2 linked regions of the Yarrowia lipolytica genome follow. The protein of the gene in region 2 purifies or fractionates together with the protein of the main gene of each other region. This does not show direct contact. Links are inferred from orthologs where the notes say so. Each region holds a gene or a part of one and is shown on either strand. Other genes may lie near its edges.

Evidence for each region.
Region 1: the proteins of YALI1_D21702g (region 2) and YALI1_F02794g purify together in Saccharomyces cerevisiae (affinity purification with mass spectrometry; 3 studies listed by BioGRID). This does not show direct contact. The link is inferred for Yarrowia lipolytica from reciprocal best matches to the Saccharomyces cerevisiae genes GCN1 and KAP104.

The regions. Positions count from the first base shown.
Region 1 is NC_090775.1:276,161-281,407, forward strand, and holds YALI1_F02794g (uncharacterized protein), read right to left. Parts: upstream 3,326-5,247; coding exon 611-3,325; downstream 1-610. Other genes in the region: YALI1_F02758g (uncharacterized protein), read right to left, coding at 25-85. UniProt on the Saccharomyces cerevisiae protein: Functions in nuclear protein import as nuclear transport receptor. Serves as receptor for arginine/glycine-rich nuclear localization signals (rg-NLS) and PY-NLS in cargo substrates. Its predominant cargo substrate seems to be mRNA-binding proteins.
Region 2 is NC_090773.1:2,168,652-2,173,484, reverse strand, and holds the start of YALI1_D21702g (uncharacterized protein), read right to left. Parts: upstream 3,251-4,833; coding exon 3,167-3,250; intron 2,724-3,166; coding exon 1-2,723. UniProt on the Saccharomyces cerevisiae protein: Ribosome collision sensor that activates a translation quality control pathway when a ribosome has stalled during translation. Directly binds to the ribosome and acts as a sentinel for colliding ribosomes.

The sequences.
Region 1 (5,247 bases), on a different chromosome or scaffold from region 2:
CTCATCCTGTCTTCTTGTACTCACCCTTCTGAGGGGGGGAGCCCATGTGTCCCCACCATCCCATGTAGTGTCCGTTGCCTCCCATTTTGATAGATGTGTTTAGTTAGTGAAGGTGAGATGATTTTCGTGAGCTTTGGCTTTGAAAGATACCCGTGTGATTCCATTGGCTGTTGGGAGGAACGGTAGGGTAACCCTGGGGAGCATCACTGTGGTGTGCTGGGAGCAAAGCTTATTGTGGGCGAATGGAACACTTCCAATATGCATGGTTCAGTGTCAGCAGCAAGCTGAATGATGAGACAATATGGGGACAATATGGAGACAGTAAAACGAGATGATAACTGACGATAACATGATGAACCCGAAAAGCATACATTCTGGATTTATGATTGGATGCTGCTTATTGATATATTTGTACAAATCTTGTAGGCGATACTCCTCAACATACATCTCTACAAGGACATGTTCATACTCTTGATGTCATTGTTATACATCTATCGTTTGATTTCTCTATGGCTCTATTAATCCGTGGGAGCCGTTTCTCCACCGCACCAGGCATGATTAAGTGATTGTAGCTATGGAGTGTACATGCTTGTAGTTGGTACAGTCTAGTTTAAACGCCGTAGACGTCACGCAGTCGCTTCTGGATGATGGGAGGCAGCTGCTCGGTCACGTCCTTGTCAAAATTGGGGTGCATGCCCTTGAGGCCACCCAGCACCTGTCGAAAGGTGTGCATCAGCGCTTCGCTAGGCTCCAGGTATCGGGCCACGGCATTCACAAACATGAGCAGGGTGGAGTTGTCGAGGGCTTGGGGGTTGGACGAGATGATGGTGCACATGCCCACAAACGCGCTTTCCTTCTCGCTGTTGTCCATGGCGTCATGCATGTTGAGACACCAGGCAATGATGAAGTCTGGGATTCGCTGCGCGAAAATGTCGGGCATGGTAATGCCGATTCGGCCAATGGCGGTCGAAGCGTTTTCCAGAACTCGTGGCGATGCATCTCGGGTTCGCAGAAGCGCAATGAGCCGCTCGGCAGCAGATGCCTGCAGAAGAGGTCGCAGCTTGTCGCCGAATCGAAGAGCAATCTCTCCCAGTGACCAGCAAGTGTTGCTGACGGCATCAGGCCAAATGTGGTTGTACTCGACCTGGTTGAGCAGCTCCTCCATCAACTGATCCATGTAGGGCTCCAATGGCTGGGGGCACAGGGCGGCCATGTCTCCAATGAGCGCAAATGTCGATTGCCGCACGTCAAACTCGTCATGGCAGCACACAAGAAGCAGCTCCATGAATGGGGGCTCGCTGTTCATCATCAAGGGAGCTGCCTTGTCCTTGAGACCGAGCACCAGACCGTCGACAAGATCAATGGCAGTCACCATAAAGTCTCGCTCGGCAGGATCCTGGGACGGGTCGTTGGAAAAGTTCTGATCCTGAACCAAGCACGAGTGCAGCAGACGAGCGCATCGGTCAAACACAGGGGGAGCATAGGGCTCAAATGCAGGGCCCATGTACGAGGCCACGGCAGACATGCACTCAAACAGTGGCCACAGGGCGTTGTCGTCGTCGCTAATCTGCTCCCACTTGGCAATCAGAGGCTGCATCAGAGTCTCCATGTATTGTTGGTTTTCGGCAATTTCGGCGCCGCAATACTTGACCAGAGTCGAAACTGCGTCGTACAGGAACAGCAGCGACTTCTTCTGGTAGCGTCGGAAACAGAGCGCAAACTGCTCGAGAATCTGGCCGAGGTATGGAGTCAGCATGTTTCGGGCCTCGTCAGTGAAGGTGGCCACGGCAGAACAGCCGGCAACCTGCACCTTTTTGTTTCGGTCCAGGGCACATGTAAAGAGACCTGTAAGCGTGGGGATGAAGTAAGTGTCCTGCTCGGACATGCTCTGTTCGCAGACCCAGGTTGAGAACCGGCCCAGGGTCCAGCAACAAACCTGTCGAACGGGGAATTGAGGGTCAGACAATCGCTGAATCAGGAAGGGCACCAGCTCGGGCAGATGAGGAGCGACCATATCCTGGCATCCATCAGCAATGGCTCCAAAGGCCAGAATGGCAGCTTCTCTGGCAGGCCACTCGTCAGAGACAATGGTCTGCTTGAGGTAGGGCATTGCAGCTTCAAGAACCTCCTCGGGAAGAATGTTAGAAAGTCGGTCAAGAGTGGAGGCGGCACATTTTCGCAAATTCCAGGCCTCCAGGCCTCGCACCTCGTCGTCCTCCTCATCGTCAGATTCGTCTTCATCGGGCTCCTGTCCCTCAGCCTCGTTTTTCTTGTTGCCGTGGGCGGCCTTTTGTCGGAAGTTGATGGGCTTGAGATCCTCCTCTCGGTCGGCCACGTCGGCATCGTCCTCGTTGATGCCCTCCAGCATGAACACGTCTGTCTCGGAGTAGACCATGGCTCGAAGAACAGCAGGAACAAGGTCCCCAAGATGCGGCGACAGCGCCTCCGGGTTGGGGTCCAGCTCAGTCAGCAGCAACAGGAACTCGCAAGCCTGGAAGTCCAGAGTGTCGCCCTCCTCGGAGGCAGAGATGCAATGGAGGGCGTACTGAATGACTCCTCCAAGATGGGGTGCAATTTTCTCGGCGTTGGTTCGCAGGATTCCGGTGAAGGCATTGCAGATCTGGATTCGGGTCTCCACATCGGGCGTGTTGGCCAGACTAAACAAGATCTCCAGATACTCGTCCATTCGGCTAGCAATGGATCGGCTCTCAACCTCGACAATGTGGTTGAGACAGGTGAGCGCCTGCACTCGCTTCTGGTGCGACGAGTCGGGCGACCGGACAAACTCGAGAAACTTGGGCACCATGTACTCCAGTGGCCGCTGGCTGCCGTATGTCTGGTCCAGCTCCACGGGCATGTCTTCGCAGATCTTGGACAGGGCGTCCATTCCTCCGAGCTGGGCGTTCGCGTCCGAGCTCTCGGCCAGGCCCATGAGTGTAGTCAGCCCGTCGGGCCACCCGCTGATTCCCTCCCGCTGCATCAGCGACGCCACAATGGTTCCTGCCGTGTTTCGGATGATGTTGGCGGGCTCCACCAGGGCTGTGAAGACGTGGGCCTTGACGTACGTCTTGCCGGCATCGTTGAGATCCTTGAAGTCGAATCTAATCAGGTTTTTAAGCAACAGTCCGGCCGAGGACCGCACGTCGAGCGGGCCAGCCTTGTCGTCAATCAACACCGCCATGAGGTAGTTTGCAAAGTCAGGCTGGGCCTGGGCCTCTCTAAGCTGCTGGGTGGCCTGGCGCTGGGCGGCGTTATTGCCCCGCAGCGAGTTCTGCAGCACCTCCAGGAGCTGCGCGTGGACTTGGGGTTGCGGTTCCCAGGACATTTTTTCTCACAGTGTCGGTGTTAAATGCTGTTTGGGGTGTGGTGCACTGATCGTTGCAACTGTAGTGAAGAAGACAGATGGCAGCAATAAGGTTGAAAAGTTTCCCTGCACGTGCCATCAGGTTGGGACTTGTGTGGGAGGAGTGTTAAGGGGGTCGGGATGGGAACGGGTGGTCAATAAGAGGTGATACCAACAACTGGTGGTAAGGGGAGTGAAGGAGACTGTTTTATGTCATGTGTTTCTATTGATTCAGCCCTTAAAATCTTTAGTTTGTCTCATATTTTGCCACTTTTGTGGAACCTCTATTCCTGGGTGGTGGTGTATATCTTTCAATAATGCATACTCTTACTTGACTATTTACTTGGTGATTTGTTGAGCATTCCCTGTGTCCAGCGCATTTGATATTTACCCGTCTCCTTCACGTGCAAAGCCCTCTGGCCATCATACGAGTGCTATACACATGCGCGGCCCAAGGAGGGGAAATTGACAACAAGCTAGTCACAAAGACAAGCTGATGCGCAGTGACTTGGCCCCATGCCACAAGGACCTGTTATCACGACTTGATTGTTTCCTGTACTCGTACAAGGTACAGGCACTTTCACTTTCAAAAGAACCCTTTGATCGACACGGTGCATACATGCTGTGTGTGTGTGTGTGTGTGTGTGTGAGTGTCTTGTTGCTGGGGCGACTCCGAGTGGAGACCTCTATCATGTTGATGATTACGCCATCTGACACCTACGATTGTCCTGGTATGAAGATCTACGTTTCGCTTGTTTCATATCCACATGTCATTCAACGGTCAGCTACTGTACTTGTATTACTGTAATACGTACGACTTGTGCTTGTTCGAGTCGTTGACTTGTCTCACATGAGAGTCAAGTTACCCCCGGTTCTGTATTCAGCGTCGTCAGGAGAGGACAATTACGAGACGAGAGCTCGTTCAAGTACCGTATTAAGTGCTTGTAGACGGCTCAATGAGTAATCAATAAATTCACGTCACTGGTCTGTTTTCCAACCATGCCGGCACAATTTCACAGCACCCATACAAGTACTTCCATTATACGAGTACGATAGTTCTCACTCGCCATGGTCTTGGCAAGAACGCGGCAATACAATAACCACCTATGAACAAGTAGCTACAATACAGTAAAATGAAACAAGGCTGGTCTCAGAAACGACGGCGGTGCCCAATTAGACAACCCCACTCGTCTTCTTCTGTCTAACAAGCCCTTTTATTGTCTCAAGTTGCCTTTTCCAAGCCTACCTCGGTTCTCGGGACGGGTCGTACTTTCGCGTCTATGAGTTTATTTGAACAAACGAGATAAAGAGGTGCAACGTGATGACGGTGACATTATCACGTTGATTGAACCCATTAGGAAAGGAAGAGCTTGTTGAATTTGTCTAATGATCGGTCACTATGACTCAAATTGACCACCCAGGCCACAGACTCTCCAAACACTCTGGTCACGCTTTTACTTGTACTTGTACTTGTACATCCTATATCGGACCCTGATATCAAGATGAGCCAAATCAGTTGCAACCAGCGAGCCAAATCAATCACAAAAAATGGCGTTGTAAACAACTGTCACGCAAACGAAATCGCTGTAGATAAGAGCGGGGTAACAGCTGCAACACGAACGACTGTACATATGCCTTTGTGTTATCCCCAAGCCGTCTACTTGTACAAGCCCTGGATATAGTGATCACTGAATCAACCCCAACAACTCAACAAGGTTCTCATGAATGATACAAGGCAAAGATACAGTATATCGGAAAGCCTACTTGCAGCTACTGCATCGTAGAATACCGAATGAGACATCTCTGCCATAGGTGCGAGCTTCTATTGCGTCTAGGTTTGTCTTGCGGTGGTTTTGACTGTGTATTTATACTCTCAGCCATACAGCAGTTGACCCAGCACTGTA
Region 2 (4,833 bases):
GTGGGAGTGCTCTTCATGAGCTGAATGAGGGCGCTCATGATTTCAGATCGAGGAGTAATCACGTCGGCAAAAGCAGAGGTGTGACAAGTGACAATCTCAATGGCAAGATGCGTTTGCTCCTCAGCCACGTCCTTGTCACGAGACTGGTTCTTGAGCACAAACAAGACAATGGGAAGCACGAAAATCAGAGAAATAGCGTCAAGAGGAGAAGACATGGCCACAGAATGAATCTTGTACAGCACCCGCGTGATGAGAGAGTCACGTGACTCCTTCTGGAGGTCCTCGCTCACGTGATTACCATACATTCTGAGCAGGCAGACGGCCAGGAAGGGTCTAATGGAACCCAGCTTGTCGTTGGTGATCCAAGACATGTCCGTGAGAGTCTTGGTCACGTGACTGGAACAAAGCACATCCACGTTGGGGTGTCTGAGGAGCTCGAGCATGAGCGTCATGGCCGGTCCAAACCACGTTTCTTTGCCGTTATCAACCGTCATGGCTTCCTTGGAGAGGGCGGAAATGATGCCCATGAGCCGGGTCACGTGATCTGCGACTGCGGTGACCTCCGTTCTAATTTCTGCCTCCTTCTTCATCTGTTCGTCTACCTTGATTTGTTCCTCCTTGGTGTACTTTGGCTTTTCGACAACACCCTTCTTCTTTTGGAGCTCCTTCTTGAGGTTTTCTTCCCACAGCTTGTCCTGGTATTCCTTGGAGTTTTTGTGAGCCACACGCTCCGTTCGCTTGATATCGAAAGCCAGTTCGTCAGCGGGAGTGTTGAAGATGGTCACGGCCTCAGTGGTGACACAGGAGAGGTTCGAAACAGAGAACTGCTCGGCAACCTCACCAGCAAAGACGTCAGGAGCAATGAAACAGACTGTAGCGATGGTAGGATAGAGGTTGGAGGAGGCAGCCGAAGACAGAATCGACTTGACATGCTTCTCATTGTCCAACAACAACTTTCGGGGGTCTCGAGATGCTCCCAGAACGGACTCAATCCACAGTCCGACGCCACACAGTACCTCTAGCCCATCGACAAGAGCCTTGTCGCAGTTGTTCTCGGCACTAAACAGCGAGTAAAGCAACTTGGAGTACTTTCTCTCGCTGACGTGGGTGTCAGAAATTCCAGAAATGACAGCCCCAGCCAGACCATCCGAGTAATTGCTCCTCAGAGCGGGACCAACCAATCTAGAGCAGTCAACGTCCACCTTGACCTCGGAGTCGCCATAAGCATAGAAGAAGATGGTCTTACCAAAGTCGGGGGCATTGTCAGGGTTAACCTCCTTGAACAGCGACTCCAGAGCCTTGAAACCAGTGACAAATTCGCCTGCACTGAGTTTGGTGTACACTCGAGGAGATAGAGCCAGTTCCAGAGCCTTGTCAGATTTTACAGCTTTTCCAGCCTTGGTGAGCAGGTAAACAGCTCCAAGACCAGAAATCGCACCCTTGACGATGGTGGAAGAAGCGAGAATCTTCTCCAGCTCACCTGTCACGTGCTCAGCGTGTTGGGGGAAGTTGACCAGCTGTAGAACCCAGGTCTTGACGACGCCAGCGTTGGAGTCAGACAGTCCAGAAGAGAGAGTCTTAGCCTGATCAGGGGAAAAGTGGACCAAAAAGGCACGTGACAGAGCAGTCAGGGCAATCTCGTTCTTCTCCTTGGTAACCACAGGAGCAAGGGCGGCAGACAGAGAAGGATCGGTCACGTGACAGCCAGCAATAGCGTTTCCATAGGCCACTTTTTGCTCCAACACAGTCACCTTAGACACAGTCTTGGCCAACTCGGAGTAGAGGGTCTCGTGAGAGATAGCACAGGCCACTCCGATGCATGTGACAGCTCCATCTCGAGTGAGCTGATTGGAAGACTTGAGACATGTGACCAGGGAAGCGGAAATGCCGTCAACCAGCTTCTTTGCTGACTCATCGTCTTTATCGAGACTCTCTAGCAACAGGGGAATTGCGTACTCGAGAACAGACTCGGGAGACCTCAGAATCGACTTCTTGGTGGCATCAAAGATATCAGCCGCGACCTTGGACTTTTGGTCACGAGACAGGTTGCCAAAGTATCCCGTGCAAAACTGTTTGGTGGCGTTTTTGCAGGGCAGAACCTTGGCGCCGAGCACGTTGGCGCCGTAAAACTGCGAGTAGGCTGAAAGATCCAGCTGCTCAAAAGTTTGAGGAGCATTTTCAGCGCATGCAGATGCTAGACAGCCCAGCAGAGCCGTAGACGTGGGGGTGCCTGGGAGGCATACGTTCAGCAGTTTGGTCAGAGCTCCGTTAGCTGTGATGCAGGCTGCAAACGCGGCTCGGGTCTGCCTCAGAGCGCTCTTGGCCATTCGCTCCCGGTTGCATGCTGAGCACAGGTCCACGAGCTCGGCCTGCATGGAAATGAGGTCCTTGAAGACAAAGTCGTTGAGCTCGGACCCGGCGTTGGTCAGGGAGAAGGACACAAAGTAGTTGGTCCACTCCAGCAGCACCATGAGGTTGTTTGTGGAGGACTTTTTGTAGATGGCAAACTGCTTGGCGAGCACGGGCACAACCTTTTGAAGGGCGGCAGGGTGTTCCTTTAGCAGCAGTTTCCACGTGTCGACTACCACGTCCCTCGATACGTGGTCGGAGTAGTGTGGAATAGTCTGAAAAAGAGCACTGAGGATAGACGGAAGGGAGTCGGGAGAGGACAGGAGCATTTGCTGTTCCTTCCAAAACTCCAGCCGGTCTTTGGTGGATGACATCTGGGTTAGTGAATGAATGGTTGTGCGTGACAAAAGAACACGAACCCGTCCAGCAATTGCACGGAAGCTGTATTTCTATTCTGAGCGTGGACAACAATCATCTATGAGCTCAGTAACGAGCGCACTATTAATGCACAGCGTCATTGGGGGTCAACAAGTGTTGAGAGTGAAGTCTTAGCTCGAGAGAACACATTTAGGAACGAGATAAGGCTTCAAAAGACATTGGGCATAGCACATGAGTCGACAAAGAGATAGACTTGGGTTCAATCCGCAGATGAAACCAGCAAGGCTCTGAGTGAGATCTGGAGTCTCTGAGACATCAGGAATTGCGCGCGACGGACAATCTGAGACTTGCACAAGAGACTTGCACAAGAGGATGCAGGCACGAAAGCGCAACAGGGACTTGGAGAAAAGCTCAATCAACTGGGGACCCCAAAACCAACTGATCCAGATGAGAAGACGATGACATGATGTGATAATGGACACGGAAGTAGATCACGATCCAGCCTGATCACACCGTGTATCATAGCTGTTCACTCTCCAGCTCGTTGTCACTGTGTCTGAGGATATGTGTCTTATCTTGGCTCTTCTCCAGAGCCCACCGATCAACCGGGGATTATGGTGAAATCTCACAGATGATCGCTTTGAGTATGAGGACTGAGTAATTGGTTAGATCTGTAGTTTGTTGATCTGTCTGTCTGAAGTTGTCTGAGTCGGTCTCTGCGTCATTCTCTCTATCTGTCTGTCTGTCTGAAACAATCCACATCTAATCCACACCAAGGTATCACGATAACCACCTGAAAATCCGAGTCCTGAGATCAGACAAGGTGACATGACTCCACACTCTCCAGAACAAACCCTTCAACGGACCAACCAACCAGTCACCAATATCATTCTAGAACTGGCCAATGTCGCTCACAATTCGCTCCTCACACACATCTCTCCATCGCCCACATCTCTCGCTCACCCCTTCACTCTCAGTACCTCTCATAACCCTCTATAACCACCTCATTAACCATCGTGTATAACTCACCATAATTGTCTGTGTTAGTGTTGTTCTGGTTTGAGCCACACTCTCCGTGTCATTCCCCCCAGTCCCCTTCTCGTACTCACTGTATTCAACAGCTGCGATGGCCTGTATAATCCTCAAAGTCCAAACTTGTAATTTGTATGTGATCCGACATCTTTGCTTCAAATGCAGGTGTGACACTTTTTCATGGGTTAGGGCGGGAAACGGGAGGTTAGGGTTGTGGGGACCCCAGGATGTGATAGAAATGCAGACATGTTGTCGGCGGTGAGATATATAGATTGATCACTGCTTAGTGAATACAACAATCTACTTTATATTTGTCGAAGACTCTTCTCCATCTAATTCTGGGTCACGTCCCTCATAAAACCGCATCTCGAGATGCTATCACAATGATAATGGTACCATCGTGACCGCTAGAACCGGGGGATTCTGATGATAGTACGATTTCACTCTCTGATATCCATACTGGACGTTTCACGTCATTCAGTCATATCTTGCACAACAAACCGGCTTTAAAGTCCGGTGAAAAATCTGAACTTTCCAACATTAAGTTTCAGCAGCTTCATTCTACAGATTACGAGTATTATTGGACACTGCAACTACTCGTCATAGCTTAAAATACAGCTAATATCGATTGTTATCTCTTTTCAACACCCTACGAACCACCATGGACCCATCCACAATTTTCGGTCAGATCACATCTCTTGCCTTATTTAAGGTTTGGAACTCGTCTTGGTGAAATAAAATTAAACTGTAAACTCAAGTTACCCGGCCTCTGCGAAATATAAAAACCACCGTTTCACACCTACAAACGGCAACTAAACCGGCCAGTGATGAACGACGTTGTTATTCCGTGCCAGATCTCTTTACGAGAGTCGCGTGACATACCATCATGCGACTGAAGGGCGCTGTGGATCAAAACCCGCGTCTCAACCACCACATGGGGTCTTTTGCCAATCTGAGGCTGGTTTAGTTGACTACAGTTGGTATTTAGTCAAGTCAGGACATTTTGTCAAGTGCATAGTTAGAATTTGGTAAGGCAGTATAGTGGAGGCTGATTACCAGTCAAGTAAATGGACC